4 linked regions of the Saccharomyces cerevisiae S288C genome follow. The gene in region 3 interacts genetically with the main gene of each other region. Each region holds a gene or a part of one and is shown on either strand. Other genes may lie near its edges.

The links.
Region 1: mutations in UBP3 (region 3) and HTZ1 together harm fitness more than expected from each alone (negative genetic interaction), as found in Saccharomyces cerevisiae (9 studies listed by BioGRID, with this or other methods).
Region 2: mutations in UBP3 (region 3) and LSM1 together harm fitness more than expected from each alone (negative genetic interaction), as found in Saccharomyces cerevisiae (6 studies listed by BioGRID).
Region 4: mutations in UBP3 (region 3) and VPS72 together harm fitness more than expected from each alone (negative genetic interaction), as found in Saccharomyces cerevisiae (7 studies listed by BioGRID, with this or other methods).

The regions. Positions count from the first base shown.
Region 1 is NC_001147.6:302,939-306,122, forward strand, and holds HTZ1 (histone H2AZ), read right to left. Parts: upstream 1,046-3,184; coding exon 641-1,045; downstream 1-640. Other genes in the region: E3 ubiquitin-protein ligase HRD1, read right to left, coding at 1-97; PLB3 (lysophospholipase), read left to right, coding at 2,411-3,184. UniProt on the Saccharomyces cerevisiae protein: Variant histone H2A which can replace H2A in some nucleosomes. Nucleosomes wrap and compact DNA into chromatin, limiting DNA accessibility to the cellular machineries which require DNA as a template.
Region 2 is NC_001142.9:186,355-189,425, forward strand, and holds LSM1 (Lsm1p), read right to left. Parts: upstream 1,291-3,071; coding exon 772-1,290; downstream 1-771. Other genes in the region: tRNA 1-methyladenosine methyltransferase subunit GCD14, read right to left, coding at 1-325; DUF5427 domain-containing protein MTC1, read right to left, coding at 1,650-3,071. UniProt on the Saccharomyces cerevisiae protein: Component of the cytoplasmic LSM1-LSM7 complex which is involved in mRNA degradation by activating the decapping step.
Region 3 is NC_001137.3:468,725-474,215, forward strand, and holds UBP3 (mRNA-binding ubiquitin-specific protease UBP3), read right to left. Parts: upstream 3,701-5,491; coding exon 962-3,700; downstream 1-961. Other genes in the region: SPI1 (Spi1p), read left to right, coding at 1-92; YER152C (2-aminoadipate transaminase), read right to left, coding at 3,933-5,264; PET122 (Pet122p), read right to left, coding at 5,317-5,491. UniProt on the Saccharomyces cerevisiae protein: Has an ATP-independent isopeptidase activity, cleaving at the C-terminus of the ubiquitin moiety in natural or engineered linear fusion proteins, irrespective of their size or the presence of an N-terminal extension to ubiquitin.
Region 4 is NC_001136.10:1,424,101-1,429,296, forward strand, and holds VPS72 (Vps72p), read right to left. Parts: upstream 3,108-5,196; coding exon 720-3,107; downstream 1-719. Other genes in the region: VPS52 (Vps52p), read left to right, coding at 1-588; VPS60 (Vps60p), read right to left, coding at 3,331-4,020; 3,4-dihydroxy-2-butanone-4-phosphate synthase RIB3, read right to left, coding at 4,254-4,880; PAC11 (dynein intermediate chain), read right to left, coding at 5,088-5,196. UniProt on the Saccharomyces cerevisiae protein: Participates in the catalytic exchange of histone H2A for the H2A variant HTZ1, an euchromatin-specific factor, leading to chromatin remodeling and changes in transcription of targeted genes. Indirectly involved in vacuolar protein sorting.

The sequences.
Region 1 (3,184 bases), on a different chromosome or scaffold from region 3:
CGCTTGTCTTGGTGGCTGAATACACGCAATAAAATGTGAGCAAATATGTGACAACTACAAAAATTGCCAACTGTTTCCTTCTATTTTCTGGCACCATATTATTATTTTGTCTTTCTCCCCTTCTCTTACAAATTGCAATTGATAGATGATTTTCTGGTTATAAAAAGGAACCAACAAATCGGTAGAAAGTCGACAGTATAACTAGTGGTGAAGCTGTTATTAGAAATGGTAGGGGGGTTTTTTTTTTGTCCTGTCGGCACGTATGGAAATTTATCGTCTATTAAACCTTTTCTTTGATTTGATTTCTACAGTGTACTTTTGTAGGTGTCCTTAATTTCCATTTTTCCGGGTATGCAAAGTTCAACAAAAAGAAAGCCCTGACCAAATTTCTGCGTACATAACGGCTACTGCGCTATCGTTGGGAATATTGTGTGAGAGTATATTTTCATGCTATATATTATAGTAAAAACATAAGAGATTAGACGTGAAAGGAGAGATAGATTACATATATGTATGTATATAACTCGGGTACGGAGAGACAAATTTCAACTTATAATAATGATACAGACGTTAATATGGATAGAATGAGGATACAGGAGCAGGGAGAATTACGGGAAATGGGAAAGAAAAACTATTCTTCTTATTTCTTACTTCCCTTTTTTTCCACTTTCAATAATAATGCTTTATTTATATGAGGCAAAACACCACCTGAAGCAATTGTAGCCCTGATCAAAGAATCTAACTCATCGTCACCTCTAATGGCCAATTGCAGATGTCTTGGGGTAATCCTCTTGACTTTAAGATCCTTGGCTGCATTACCAGCCAACTCCAGCACTTCAGCAGTCAAATATTCCAACACAGCAGTCAAATAAATGGCAGCTTTGGATCCTACTCTTGTTCGGCCGGTAGCGTGCCTTTTCAGGTAACGCTTAATCCTACCGACAGGAAACTGCAAGCCAGCCCTTGCTGAAGAAGATTGAGATCTCAATGAACCACTGTCTTTAGCGCCGGATTTACCTTTACCTCCATGAGCTTTTCCTGACATTATGTTAAGTTATTTTTACGTGCGGCTATAGTGCGAAATTGAATTTAACGATATTTTTTCCGACTGAAGTATAATAGAGTCCGCAGTGTTTTTTAGTTGGGGGTTGTGACTCTATTACACTGGATAATAGTTCAGCTGTTAAATAGAGCTGTATGCTTTATTTGTTGTTTTTTTTGTTTTGTTGTTTTCGTGCACGGAGCGAGCGCGGCGGGTTACGGAACACCAGCGGCCAGTTCTACGAGTAGTAAGTTACGGGCGTAAAGTTACTGTGTGCTAATCTAGCATGGATGCATTCAGTAAACCTTTTCAATTGAGTCTAACGTTCTCTAAAGAAAGAAGAATACTGCTATTTTAGGTATGTGCTTACTACCGCTTGTGCGGACCTGCCCTGATTCCAAGGTAAGAGACAGTGATTCTTGTCCTAAGCTCTTTTCTCCGGGGCGGGCGGGCGGCTGGCAGACATATTGATTGCGGGTAACACCTCCGAGGTTAATTAATCAAGCAACGTGCGGAGTTTTATCACATGGATGTTTCTTATCACCGGGTGCGCGCCACGCAATATATAAAACGGTAAACATACGCTGTTGCAAGGCAAGACACAACAGCGGCAAACACTTCAGAGAATACAGACGATAGTCATCAGCACTCCTAATAATCGTATAATGAATACTATACGAAGCTTTGTGCGTTGCAAAAAGAGCATACCAGGCGAAGAGAGCGCAGTTAGTAGGTGATCGGGAAATTGCTGAGTACAGTTGTTTGCCTCCTGTGATACCGCGTCACATGACCATTTAAAAGTGTCCATAATGTCATCGGTAACGTCACACTCACATGAGTTTTCCTGACTTCAGCCTCCTTCATCTCGCGTTAATACGCCAGCATCGCGCACCATATTACTGCCCGCGTAATCCAATTCCTCCTTTCGTTCTCAATGACTAAAACGCAAATCATTTTTCCTTTTTTTTTGAAACCGGTGGACGCCCCATAGAACTTCCAAATCAGGAAATACCGCAACTTCATCCGTTTTCGTTTCGCTTTAGTCCTCCACGAAAATATCTTGCCGGTTCCGCGAATGTTGTACTGGTTCTTCTGTGCAATGAGCCTTTTTCTCTTCTTTCTTTTTCCCTGCTTTTAAGATGGCTTGGCTATGGAATTACTCAATTTGGCACTTCTTTTGCAAGATCCAGACTTGCAGGGATTCTATCACCATTATTACCACACTACTATGTTATTGTTACGCTTTTCATCCACTTTTATATAAGTTATACGTGGTTTTACGAGTTCTAATATTTCACTTTTCAGCTTGGAATACGCCGTTTTAAGAGGACTAAAAGCAAGGAAATTACACACATAATAATATAAGTAATGATACGTCCATTATGTTCAAAAATTATTATCAGTTACATATTCGCAATTTCTCAGTTTCTACTGGCCGCTAATGCGTGGTCGCCCACAGATAGTTATGTTCCTGGCACCGTGTCGTGTCCCGATGACATAAATCTGGTAAGAGAGGCTACGTCTATATCTCAGAATGAGAGCGCATGGTTGGAAAAGAGGAATAAAGTCACTAGTGTAGCTTTAAAAGATTTCTTGACTAGGGCTACTGCAAATTTTTCAGATAGCTCAGAAGTTTTGTCGAAGCTATTTAATGATGGCAACAGCGAAAACCTGCCGAAAATTGCTGTCGCCGTTTCAGGTGGGGGCTATCGGTCCATGCTAACAGGTGCGGGTGTTCTAGCAGCAATGGATAACAGAACTGAAGGTGCTTATGAGCATGGGCTGGGTGGACTTTTACAAAGCACAACATATTTATCTGGTGCCTCGGGCGGCAACTGGCTAGTTGGTACATTAGCCTTGAACAATTGGACATCCGTGCAAGACATTCTTAATAATATGCAGAACGACGATTCTATTTGGGATTTGTCAGATTCTATTGTTACCCCCGGCGGCATTAATATATTCAAAACAGCCAAAAGGTGGGATCATATCTCTAATGCTGTCGAATCTAAGCAGAACGCCGATTACAATACTTCTTTGGCCGATATTTGGGGCAGAGCCTTGGCGTATAATTTTTTCCCTTCTCTAAATAGAGGGGGTATAGGCCTGACTTGGTCTTCCATTAGGGATTTCCCAGTGTTT
Region 2 (3,071 bases), on a different chromosome or scaffold from region 3:
TACAATTCAACCTTTGCATGATGTAGGAAGAGTCGGGCGTATATACAATTTGAGTTCTGTGTGGTAACGACAAAGTCCACAATTCAGGAGTTGGTTGCAGAACATGGACGAATGCAAACTTATTTGAGCCCTTTGTTCTTATAGCAATTTGAGAACCATAAGGTTTACCTATGATATCCTTATGAGGAAATGAACCATAACGAGTATTGAATACCTCTTCGGAATGCATCCTTACCGGTTTGATGTTATCTCTAGAAACCCATATTAGAGTTAAATCGCCTTCCTTGATGAGGTCTTTGTAACCGGAAAAACAATTTGTTGACATTTCTAAATCTGCGTAATCTTAGCTACCTGATAGTCCCACCCCGATCTTATTCACATATATTTTCTATATACTTTAAACAGTTTTAAAAGTGATGAGCATGGAAAAAAATTCGTTGCTAACGGCATGGCATAAACAAAAAGCGAAAAAATTTTATAGATAATAATAAAGAAAAAGTATCAATAGCATGAGTGTTAATGTTATAACGAAGTGTAAGAGGAAAAAGAATGCTGCGCAAATACGTTACTTCATAAAAAAACTCAAGTACTGTATATATTTTACATTTAAATATATTAATTTATATACAAATACGGCCTCCTCTCTTGCATTTTTTTTATTGTTCCATCTCCAAAGGCAGTTGATTAAGTGTACGGATAGGTAAAACTGAATGTGGAAATTTTTGAGAGTTTACTCCAGGATATATGTTGGTAGTATTGTGTTTTTCTTTCTTAGTACATGTCAGATTTATGGAAATCGTAAACGATACCATGGCGGGCCATTTTTTTACCTTTGTGGGTTTCCTCTTTAAACCTTTTCTCATCATTTTTTTGCTTGGTCAGCCAAGCCTCCTTAAATGGTATGCGTTCCATGGCCTCAAGGGGTTGATCTTCTTTATCGATGTCTACTTCGCCTAACATGACAACATTTTCACCACGAATCATGAATATGCCGCGGTCTTCTTCAGCGTATTTGTTTTCTTCGCTAAAATATATTCTCTCCACGCAATCTTGAAGTATCAAATTTGCATATTGGTCAAAGGTTCTTAGTACACCGAATAGCATTCTTCCATCACGCAAAAGAACGAAGATTTTACGGTCTACTGAGCTTACAATAGCAGCGGTGGTAGTGAAGTTATACTGGTCGAGATATAAATCGGCCTCACCTTCTGAAATCTTCTTTGGGAAATTCTGCTGTTGTCGCTTCGCATCCTGATTGGACTGATTTCTGTCCTTGCTATTTGCAGACATTTTTGGTGAATTAATTCGATTCGAGGGCTGCTTTCTTTTATAGGTTTTGAAAGCGGAGCAAATGTTGGTATAACTCTACTGCAGCGTTGGCAATCCTGTTGAAAAGGAAAAGAAAATATAACTAAACTGTGTTACTTGTATCTTCACTAATATTTAATCAGCCCTTGGTCATACAGGCTTCCCCTAGATTGAAATACAGGTGCTGAACACCGTTGTATATTCACGACTTCCTCTATTTTTTTCATATTTTCCATTATTCAACGAACGCGGGTAACAAGTCGGCCGAATTTGAACCCACTCCTCTGCGCTTGTAACTTTATACATCATCGTTACGCTATAAATGTTATGTATTAAGTGTATCAAAGACCCATACGGTCAATGACATAATTCTGTGCCATGACCCCAAATGACAAGCTTAATCCATCTTCGATCCATTCCTTTACCCATTCACTAGGATCAATGATCTCATCGTCTTCGTCTTCGTCTTCACTTTCTTTTTGTTTCTTTTGATCGTATGACTTATTCCTCTCCTCACTTGCTGTTGATCCTGTTTTCTCCACGGATCCTTCTAGCCAATTGACCCATTTGACAGGGAATCCTTGTGATCTTGTTATGGTGGTAATATCGTTAGTTATGTCTTTCAATACAAGGGTGAAATTGAAATTGCCTGGCGTATTGGAGTCGGTCACTTGAAAGTCACCGTCGGCATCTTTTTGTTTTTGCGGAATGGCAATTGGTAAGATGGATATGAATAAATCACTGATTTTATTGCTGTTACTGCTAATAGAACTCCTATCGTCATCTGGAGTGGCATCAGCCTCTTTCTGTTGTTTCTGGTATTCCTCATGTGCAGTATTGAAGAGTTTGACTGCATTTTCCAGGTTTGCAAATGCCAGTTTCTCACCGTCTGTTACCTTGCCGTCGAATAGATTAAACTGTAATTTTTTTTTAGAGTTGCCTAACTCACCGTCTGCAACTGAAGGCTTTTTTTCCACAGGTGTAATTCCATTATTGTTAGGATGGCCCCATTCATCTACAAATATTCTGATTCCTCCCTCAACTTGTGAGCTTAGAACTTGATCAAACTTGCTTTCAATATTGTATTGTAATGAGGGATAGTTAACCAAATCATGGACTAGATGAATTCGCAGCACCTCTTCAGTCTCACCAACAACGATTTTCTGTAAGTTTCTGGCTATTTCAGTAATCGTGCTCGTGTTTATCTTTGAAGTCAAATCAAGCTGTTCTTGGGCAAGTCGGTTTTTGATCTGGGATGCTTGTTCTGCAGTTTTATTCCAAATACTCGATACCTTTGCGGATCCAGAGGAGGACCACCAGTTTGAAATAGAAGCAATTGGGTCATGCAATGGGGTCTCCTCCTCCTCCTCTTCTTCTTCTTCTTCTTCCTCCTCTTCTTCTTCTTTCTCCTGCTGCTGTGGTTCCTTTTCCTTTCCGTGAGCGTCCTGCTCGGAATTTTTGTTTTCTTTTGATTCTTCTACTTTTTCGTCTTGTGCTTTATTATTAACTGATTCACTGGGAGCCTTCTTTTCAACCCCTTTCTTGTCAGTTAAGCTTAAGTTACTCTTCTCCAACTCTTCTAAGAATTCAAAGATATCATCGTCACCTTTCTTTCCATCATTCCCGGTCTTGCCCGCCACAGAATTAGAACCTCCCTTAACGCCTTCTTGGCTACCCTTTACGTCAGTATTAACCATTTTCCCGCCATTCTTTGCTTCTGGCAAAGAATCTAAAAATTCAAATACGTCTTCAGCCTCAGAGTT
Region 3 (5,491 bases):
CACATGATGTGGAGACAAATTCTAATGCTGCTAACGCAAGAGCAATCCCAGGAGCCCTAGGTTTGGCTGGTGCAGTTATGATGCTTTTATGATCGAATAGTCTTTAACTAGAGACTTATTTTAAACAGGACATGTGTTTTTTACTAATATTGTATTCTTCGATGTAGTCGTTATAGTTCTTTTTCTTCAAATCATTTAAATAAAGAAACTATTTTTTCTTTTTGTGTGTAGAATAATAAATGTAATTCTAGTTCTTCCTTTTTTTTTTTGGCTTTTTCACAGCTCATCTTTTTTACCCATTTGGTCATGATTATGTTGTTTGCCGTTGTGCAATAGGGAGTTTGTAAATCCTGAGATAAAGTATGGTGCTTCGAGGTTAGCACTTAATTGGCGTAAGCTGCTTAATGACAAAACCCTCCTTGGGCTTGGCGTATACGAAATATGCTCCTGCGAAGCGCAGTGGCAATATTGAGCACTATGTTAACGATAACGTGTTGGACTCATCGTCTGTGCACATATGATTGAAATCGGGAATCCTCTGCTTTTTTTAGGTAAAATCAAACTTTGGCTAAATTTGGATGATTACTTAAAGTAAGAAATGAATCTTAAGAGATGTATGAGTTTTGTGATAATTGTTGTGATTCCATTGTTGCCAAAGGCCATAATATTTTGAAATTCACATTCCTTCTACAAGGTATTTGTTTCTTAAATGTTCATCTCCAAGAAATAATTGGTTTCGTGGTCTAGTCGGTTATGGCATCTGCTTAACACGCAGAACGTCCCCAGTTCGATCCTGGGCGAAATCATTTTTTAAATATGCCAAGCATAAAGTGTAACTCTGTTTCTCTGTCTGTCTCTATTTCTTTTTTAAAATCGTGCTCACTATCGTATTGTATTGTATTGTATTGTATTATTGCTATATTATTTTTTATGTATTTTGTCTATAATACCACCCCCCGTCTTAATTTCTCTTTTGATACATTAAAATATAGGCAGTCCTCGAATCAGAAGCTTCTTCGCCACCTTTCAAAACGTCATCGTCCTCTAGTTCGGTAATATTTACATCATCTATTCTATACCATTTGTTGTGCTCGCTATGATAAACATCCGCTGTGTAATGACCGCCATCGGAACTTACCCCATGATGGTATATAACTCCGGTTAGCTTATATCTTCTATCATCAATCCCTGAGGTGTTGTTTTTCAATGTTATGGAAGACATTGATTCTTCAGGTATGATTAACTCGTGACCATATTTAATTTTTTTCCTGATCTTCTCAATACGTCCATTGTACGCGTTATAGTTCGTCATTGCGTTGTCTTTGTTCACATTATTTATGAATGAGAATCTTTTGAATTGGATTAAAAGAACTTGCGGCAATTTATCAATAAAAGTCTGCTTCTTGGCCTCGACATCATTCCCTGACGAGGACTTAAAGGGTAGCAATTCGTATTCACTAAATTTTTTGAATGCAGTTTCTAGATCATTCACACCAGCATCTGAAATGTCCAATTGAATTGTTTGGAACGGATCGAGTGTAATCGATTGAGATTCCTTATTGTTCGGTATATCTAACACAGATCTGAACTGGCCACCGAAAAGTTTGGAGATTGGTGATGGAACAATCTCGACAGTCCTCTTGGCAGCGGTCTTAGTTTTCTTGCCTCTTTTGCTAGATCCGCTCACTTCATGCCAACCATTTTCTTCGGTAGAGTCATCATTGATCACGCCATATTTTTCTATCAACTCCTTCAGTCTAGGACTAGCATTTTTGATAAACTCTGCTTTTCCATAACGTGACAAATTTCTAATAAAGAAAACTTTCAATTGTTCATCATTAATACTTTGCAGCATATTTTGAATTTCATTATCGGTTAAGCCATCAATTGCAGAAATTAATTCCTCGTGTAATTGGTCCAATAAGTGGGTCAAAAATTCTTCTGCGTCTTCCTGATGGCCCCATTGCAAGTCTTTGAACTTCGGTATAGTAGACAAAGTTTTGTAAAATTCGTCAGGTTTGACAGCATCGGCAGTGGCGCAGTGTTGGAAACTCTTGGATTTTGATGATTTTTTTGCATCACTTTCCGTGGTTTTTTCAGCATCATCAGCATTCTCTAGGAATTTTTTCTCATAGGTTTCCTTATCGAATTGCTTATACATAGTCAAACAAGCATCTAATAATTTACAGGATGATGTGCCGACTCTTGAATTGGTATTCCGTGTACTGAGAACGTTAATTACATCAATAAATGGCTTACAGTAGAGTAACACTTGTAACACAGAACTCATAAAACAAATGTTGGCTCTGTTAATTATGCCTCTTGGAATAATGGAATGGACTGGTATTTTGTTTTCAACATCTTTATTCCGTAAAACGTAACTAATGAAATCGGGATCAAAACACATTCTTAACGCAATCGAACCCAGTGGCTCAATACCCTTTGTAGAAGGTGGAACGTATTTTTTATCCTTTTTCTGAGGCTGCTTGGACAACAGGGGAGAGCTGGATTTACCTATAGTCGCCGCAGCCATGTTTGTTGATGAAACGCCTGCGGTCGTACCAGAAATTGGTGTTTTAGTGACCATCGATCCGGAGACTGTTTTGTTACTAGCTTGTCTACTTTTAATCGCATCTGATGCTATGGCGGACCAGGATTTTGCTGCTGGAGGAGATGGTGAAGGTGAAGATGTCTTGGAAGTATTTTCTTCAACAGATTCCTCTGGTTCCTTCTTATCCACTACAGGTAAAACAGTAGCTTGAGGTTCCTGTATAACTTTTTCGTTACGGTCTTGCTTAGCATCCTCTTTCTTTACTTCAGTTTTCTTTTTAAGCTCGTGCGCATCTTTGCTCGCATGTGGTTTTTTATCATGAGCATCTTCTTCTTCCCCATGTGTTTCTGTCTTTACTTCCTCATTATGCTTTGGTATACTATGGCTTTTTGTGTGATGATGGGCAGAGCTCTTTTCTACAGATGAGTTCTCTAAGCTTTCAGAGTTTAGGTTCAAAGCCTTCATGTTTAATTCGTACCTTTGGACACTTGCCGCAGCAAATTCTGCTTCCGTAGTGTTTATGAACAGTGGCAATTGAATCAAGTTTGATGAATTTTCCTTGAGATTCTTTAATTTAGTGACATCAAACTTGTATAAATCATACTGTGAAGAAGAGTTGTAGGAAGAGTACGATGGTGAAGTAGCCGAAGAACCGTTGCCGTTGGAAGAGTTGGTCTGTTTTTTCATGCCCGCATTGCTGCCACTGTTTGGAGAGGCCATCATGGGGATATGATTGTTAGAGTAATTGTGATGGTAGGTGTGGGATTTGTTGTAGCTCATGCCGCTACCGCTAGAGTTGGCGCCTTGATTACCGCTGCTTCCATTGTTATTGGTAATGCCATTAGAGTGCCACTTCTTCTTGTTAATGTTGTTGTTATTGGTAGTGCTTCCGCCGTTAATATTGTTTTGCGGAGGCAAGTGATGTGGGCTGCCACTTTGATGGTAGATTGGCTGGTTTTGGTTGACCATATTAAACGAATAGGCAGGTATTTGTGTGGGGTATAGATATGGGGCCTGAGTGTAGCCGTACATCTGCAAAGGCGCTTGATAAATAGGAATCTGCATATTGGTTGGCGTAGGTGGTGGTGGAGAAGAGGTTTTCGGGTACATCGAGTACGACTCTTCTTTGTTAGCGTCTTGCATGTTCATTTTTTTTAATGATGATGGAAAGGAAAGCGGTACCTGGATGATGGTAGCAGACGAGTCTGACTTACTATTAAAATGACTTTCTTCTCTAGAAACACTTCTCTTCCCTTTCGCTTTTTCGCTGCTTGTTTGTTTTATCACATTATATTTTTTTCCTTCTTTTTCTTTTTCTTCCTTGCCTTTGCCCGTAGAAAAATTACCCTCTTATTACCGTTCACCTATATACGTATTCCTTCTACATAGTTATGTTATTGGTGATCGCATGAGATTTGCAAACAGCACCAAACAGCTCAATGCCCCTGTCGATATCATCAACTTCTAAGAAACTAATAGAAAGCCTAAAGCATGACTGACCCCAGTTTTTCTCATCGCCGATGACCTCGAAATTGGAGCCGTCGGCAAGGATGACATTAAATTTCTTGGCAAGAATAGTGGATATCTCCATGGCATTGTACGCTGGTGGGAGAGTGATCCAAGTAAAATAGCCGCCCTTCAATGGCATAATCTCGGTTCCTAGGGGCATGTATTTCTTAAGCGCCGAGGTCAAGACAGTGGCCCTCTCGGAGTATACGGATCTCAGATGTGCAATGCATCTCTGGGCGGCACCACTACGCAGCATCTCACCCACGATCATGGAGTTCAGTTGTGAGGGAGTTCCGCCAGAGACGTTTGCACCACCTTTAGATAGCTGTCTGGCGAGATTCGCGTTGATTGACTCATGGTATCCAAATCTGAGCCCAGGGGCGATCAGCTTGGAGAAAGTTGCGTTGGACACTGTATTCCCGAACGAGTCCTCACCGGAGGGCGCTGTACTTCTGTCTATGTGCACCATCCTTAGGGGCGGAGAGGGCAGCTCATCTGAGGGCGTCGTGTAATCTAGAATATCGTACACGTCATCAGTGATTATCAGCATGTCGTACTTCCGAGCGATGTCGATAAGTCTGCGTCTGGTCTCAAGCGAGTATGTGTTTCCCGATGGGTTTGCAAACGTCGGGATGCAGTACATAACGTACCTGTAGACCTTCTTGGTCAACTTTGGCCCCTGAATCATCTCTGTGGTACTATGGGGCTGCGGCTCCGCCTCGTGCTGCTCAAGGGCAGAAATCAACGACTCGAAATCAATCGAGTCGTGGCCCTGCTCGTTGATGGCGGTCATTTTCCCCTTGAATCCCGCATCTGTGAAGCAATTGTTGATCAAGAAATATGTTGGCGTGATGATGAACGCCTGCCTGGTATACCCGTTATGTGGCAAGGTTGTTTGCAGAAGGATGTTCAGCATGCCATACGAAGCGCCGCTATTCAGATTCAAATAGTCTGCCCGTGTCCTGCTCCGAGCCCCATTTTCGAACTTAAACAGCTGATCATTCAGAAACGTACAAATCTGCTCTCGCACCCACAGGGCACCTTCGTCCGAACCGTACGTCAGCGGATGCCTGTTATAGGGGTCGTTATCGTACTCCCTGGTCTCGGGCCCCAATATAGCCGCAGTCGCTTGAATTACTGCTTCTCGAGGCAGCAACCTCGAGCTCGGATGGCCCTTGAAGAAATTGATTTCCTTGTATTTCATTACCGCTTGCTAGCACGCGTTGTTCCTTGTTACAGCGATGCTCCACCCAGATTTATGTGTTGATTTCAAATCCTCTTCTCTTTATCACTAGTTCGGCATCCAGCAGCGGCAGCCCGCGATAACTTTGACGGAACTCCGCCAGCACACGTCGCGCCTGCGCTGGGCCGGGAACATGCCAAAGGACACCAGCCAGTAGTAGCGGTAGTGACCATTCGTTCTTTATCACT
Region 4 (5,196 bases), on a different chromosome or scaffold from region 3:
TCAGAAAGGAGAGGAATACCGTCTATGTTTGATAGTTTCTTGAATGGTCAATTAATTCAATTATGGCCTCGATTTCAGCAATTGGTCGATTTTCAATGCGAGAGCTTACGAAAAGCGGCAATAACTACAAATGTGGCAAAATATGCCGGCAACTCAAGCACATCCAATAGTAGCCCTTTGACCTCACCTCATGAGTTAACTGTACAGTTCGGTAAATTTTTATCAAGCTTCTTGACGTTGGCAATAACACATAAGCAGTCCATAGACGAAAGATCTGAACCCTTATACAATTCCATCATTAGATTAAGAAATGATTTCGAAACAGTCATGACAAAGTGCAGTAAAAAGACGAAATCACCAGAAAGATTTCTGGCTACAAATTACATGTATTTATACAATAACCTACAGCAATTGCATCTACATTTAAATATAAATGACTCGGATGCACAAAACTACAATTTTGATTCTGCTGAAAATGTTGGTACGAAAGTTGCGAATGACGACGATAATGATTCAAGCGTACCACTAATAATCAGAGAGACCGAAAATCATTTCAAAACTTTAGTTGAAGCTTTCACCAGAAATTGATGAATGTAACGATTGTATAAGACATGGAGCGTATAAAGTATATTTTTATGTAAAATGATCTTTATGATTTCTTATTTTGTGTGGAATATAGTCAAATGTTTAACGACCTACCATTATATAGTCTGTCTCAATTAAAATCCTTCAGGAACACCTTTTGCAGGTCTTTGACTTAAATCAAGGTAAATACCGCCGTTTTTGAACCCAAACCACTTGAATCTCACTTGATCGTCACTATCCTCATTTGTCGTTTCATCACGCTTGATATCTGACCTTCCCTCCTCCTTAGAAATAGGATCTTGAATCCGCTGAATAATTTTATAAGCTTCCACATCAGAATAAGGCACACCAGTCCTTGGATCAAAGTACTGACATTCTTTATTTGTGATTAAACATTTTTTTCTTATACCATTGGCTAAGAAGACACCCGTTGGAGGCTGTGTTTTAATTTTGATTTCCAAATCCTTATTTATCTCTGTGTTGATTTGATGGACTATTTTCTTATCGTATTCCCCAAAAGATGGGAAATTTGCCAGAGCTGACAGATCAAGTGATATATCTACGGTAGGAGACGGTACTGAAGACTGAGGAGGTGATGGTAAAATGGAGTGGAAAACAGTTTTCATATCTTGTGGACGCTGAGTGGCGGATAACCCATTTGTGTATGACCATCGATCACCAAATAAGTTTGTGTTAAAATCTTTTAGATTTGGAGGAGCATTAGGAAAATCATAAAGTGTAACAAAGTTCCTTGAGGTTAATTGCTCAGGCCCTTCGTAGGTCTGTGTTGATAAAGAGTTTTCCGCGGAAGATTCATCAACATTAGCTGTATCTTTTTTTGAGGGTGACTCTTCAGTATCGATTATGGCCACTTGCGGATGGTCGGTAAACGTTACTTGTTTCAAGAAAGAAACATCAGTATTGCTTTTGGTCTCTTGTGGTACATTATGAGATAAGTTCTCGATGCCTTCGGTTTTCAGACAAGGTTCAGGCTCTCCTTTTATATCCGTATCCGGAGAGATCAATATAGTATCTTCAGTGCCAGTGGAGTTTGATGGTGTAGGTGTTGCAGAATTATCCCTTTGTGAGACCACTTGGGCAGCAGGTGATGAGTTTTCAAAAGTATTTTCCCTGCTCTCGAGAGCACTTACCATTTCATCTTTAATTTCTTCATTATGTAAATTTTGTATCGGTTCGCCTACATTGGTAATTTTTTGCTCATTAGTTATTATATTCTTTTGTGGTTGGCTGTTGGGAGCTTCATCAACGGTACTCTGCTTGTTTGCAATTGCGTCCAATGTAACATCAGGTAATGCTGTTGGCTTTAATTCGTCTGAATTTACTCTACTCACCGCTGCATCTGGACTCGATTCTCCTTCAACTGTATCGTTAGTAGAAGTTTCCTCAATCCTTTTCTGGTTGTGTACAGATGAAGAATTCTCACCCAAAGAATTCACGTCGCCATCGTTCTTTATCGATTCTTCACTCTCCCGCTTTTTATCATCTGATGCGTCCTGTTTTCCGAGATTTAAATTCTTCTTTGGCTTCCTCGGATATTTTTTCTTCTTCTTATCACGTTTATTCAATTGTTCCTGCCAATATTTACGATCTTCTAACTCCATCGCTGGCGTCATTAGCCAAGCAGTAGATAAAAATTGCAGTATAGTCTCATTTGGCTGGAATTTCTGCTTTTGTCTTTTCTGCAAAGCTAGACGATTCTCCTTTTTCCAAACTTCTTGTTCCTTGAACTTATCCAGTGACAAAATATTCAGCTTCTCAGTCTCCTTGGCAATCCGTAGCCTCTCTTCTTGTGTCAGCATATGCTGAGACTCCTGCTCCTTGTGTTTCCTTATTCTTTCTTGTATAATTTTTCTCTTTTTTTCAGCTTTAGACAATTTCTCATAAACTTTCATCGTGTTTTCCATTACCGATGATCTTTTAGAAGTTCTCCTTGTATTTAATAGTAACGTCTCTGCGTTTAATTGTTCATGGGTATGGTGCGATCTTGGTATAGCTTCTCCTGACTTAGGCTTAGGTTTTTGTTTTTTGATTACAACGGGACCCTTCTGTAATCTCTTGTTTCTTTTCTTTCTTGAAAGTAGTTCTTGTCTTCGTATTTCCTTTTCCTCTGCATCTTCATCATTCTCGTTGCTGGAGTCCTCAGATTCGCTACTGCTGAACATTAAGTCATCGGCTGCTTGCTCACTTGAAGCCTGAGAGGGCTCTTTCCTTATACTTTGAGTCTCATCTTCTTTTTCTTCCCCTTCATCATCGTCATCTTTTGCCATCATTTCGAAATCTTCATCATCTTCATCTTCCTGAAACAACAGCCCTATTTCATCTTCTTCATCATCATTACCATTCTTATAGGAAGAAATTTGTCTTTTGGTAGATTCTATATCTCTTAGCTCCTGCTCCAATAGTTTTTGTAATTTATTACCGGCATTAGACCTCCTAGATCGTGTTTGTATAATAAATTCTGTGTTAGTATCTAGACTTTTATCAGCACCTTCATCACTCATCGTGCACTGTGAATTTGCTTCGGTTTCACTTCTATTTGTATTCATTAGACTACATGGTGCTTTCTGCTTACTGTTTTTTCCATCAGGATTTTTTTAACAAAGAAAAAAGAAAACTACTAAAACCTAAATAAGGTACATATTTTGGCTTACCAGCAAAGAGAATATAAAGAAAAGGGAAAGGAGAGAAAAATTCTGAATATGCAACTTTGTGTGCTTTTTGTTTTCACTGAGCGCTTTCTAAAGCTTTATTTTTGTCTTCAGTATCTAAGTTTGGCTCTTCATCAATAAAAGCCGGTGGCGCATTCGCACCTAGTAAGTAACTGGGCATATCGTTACCTAATGAGTTTTCGCTGGTTGGCAAAGTGAAATCCTCTTGTGCCAGAGCATCCAGCTCTGCATCCAGCTCTGCATCACTAATGTCGTCGAGCTCGCCACTGTTATTATTCATTGCCAAGACTTCTTGCAGCTCATCCCCTTGTTCTATTAAATCCAGCATCTCATCCTGCATGTCCTGTAGTTTGTCGATATTTATCTTGCCGTATTGAGCCTTCATGGCATTGTTTGTTTGCTTTAGTGCGTTTATAGTGATCATTGTGTTCTGTAAGTTATCATTTGTTAACTGGGCTTGCGTCATGGACCAGGATTGAGAATCTAAAGAATCCTTCATATTTTCTAACTGTTTACGTTTATTTAAAATCTTCAAAGCCTGTTTTCTTAACGAGGGTTGCTTGTTGTTTGATCTTTGCAAATTCTTTTGAATATTTTGCAGCTGGAAGTTTAACTGGGCGATTTGAGTATCTAACTGGGATATTCTGTTCGATAGTGATTGTTGGGCCTGATTCATGGACTGATTCGACTCTTGTAAGAGCTGATCATGGCTCTTTTTGTTCCCATATCCGAAAATCCTGTTCATAATTGCCTTGAAGAGTTTATAACTGTGTTTCAACCAATCTTGGCTTCCTCCTATTACTACTTTTTTTAGATGTACTTTTTCTCTTGCTAAAAATCCCATATTTTTGTATGGCTGAAAAACATAGAGGAAGAAAAAGGTCAAAAAACAAAAGATATATACAAAGTTACAAATATATACATGTATATATGTGTGAGTCTGTTGTGATAGAATGAATGGAGAAAATGTTCACCAGATTATTTCTTCAAATATTGGGCCAATTCTTCGATGGAGATCAAAGGAATGCCATGTTTCTTACCAAACGCTTGGCAGTCATTTAATCTCATCATAGTTCCTTGTTCGTCATCGTTAACCAATTCGCCAATAACAGCGACGGGACTTAGTCCACTTAGTTTACACAAATCGACACCGGCCTCAGTGTGGCCTCTTCTCTGCAAAACACCGCCATCAGCGGCTCTCAAGGGACAGATGTGCCCTGGTTTTAAAAATGATTTTGGCGTAGAGGAAGAGTCTGCAAGAGCCCTACAAGTCATCGACCTGTCGTGAGCAGAAATACCTGTGGTAGTGCCTTGGGCTACATCTACAGTTATTGTGTATGCAGTTCCATGCCTGTCGTCATCATTGGATTCAAACTTCATGCCTGTTCTCAGTAGTGGAAGGTCCAACTTATCAGCAATGGCATTCGTCATAGGTGCACAGACGTAGCCTGAGGAATGGCGTACAAGAAAGGCCATTTGTTCAGTGCTGACATTTTCAGCAGCGCAAATAAGATCACCTTCATTTTCACGACCGGCATCGTCCATAACAATTACAAACTTATTCTGCTTGAAGTGTTCTATAGCTTGATCAATTGGTGTAAACATTTTCGACGTTGCCTTTTCTTCTTTTCCTTTCCTTTTTTTTAGCCTTCTGCTTTTTGTTGGAGATATTTACATTCACCTCACATATATACGCCAATGAAAATTTCACAATAGCACGTATATTAATAATAGCCTTGCTTTTTTTTATCAATTCTCGCTAAGAAATTACTCATCAGGCAATAACCTATGCTCACCCGCCTCGAAGCGGCGTTAGGAGATAACAGTGGCCGTGTAGAGGGACGTCTTAGCATCGAAAGCCCAATTTACAACAACGAGGCGACCATCTGCACACCACACTTGACACCGTAGAGTGCGACTA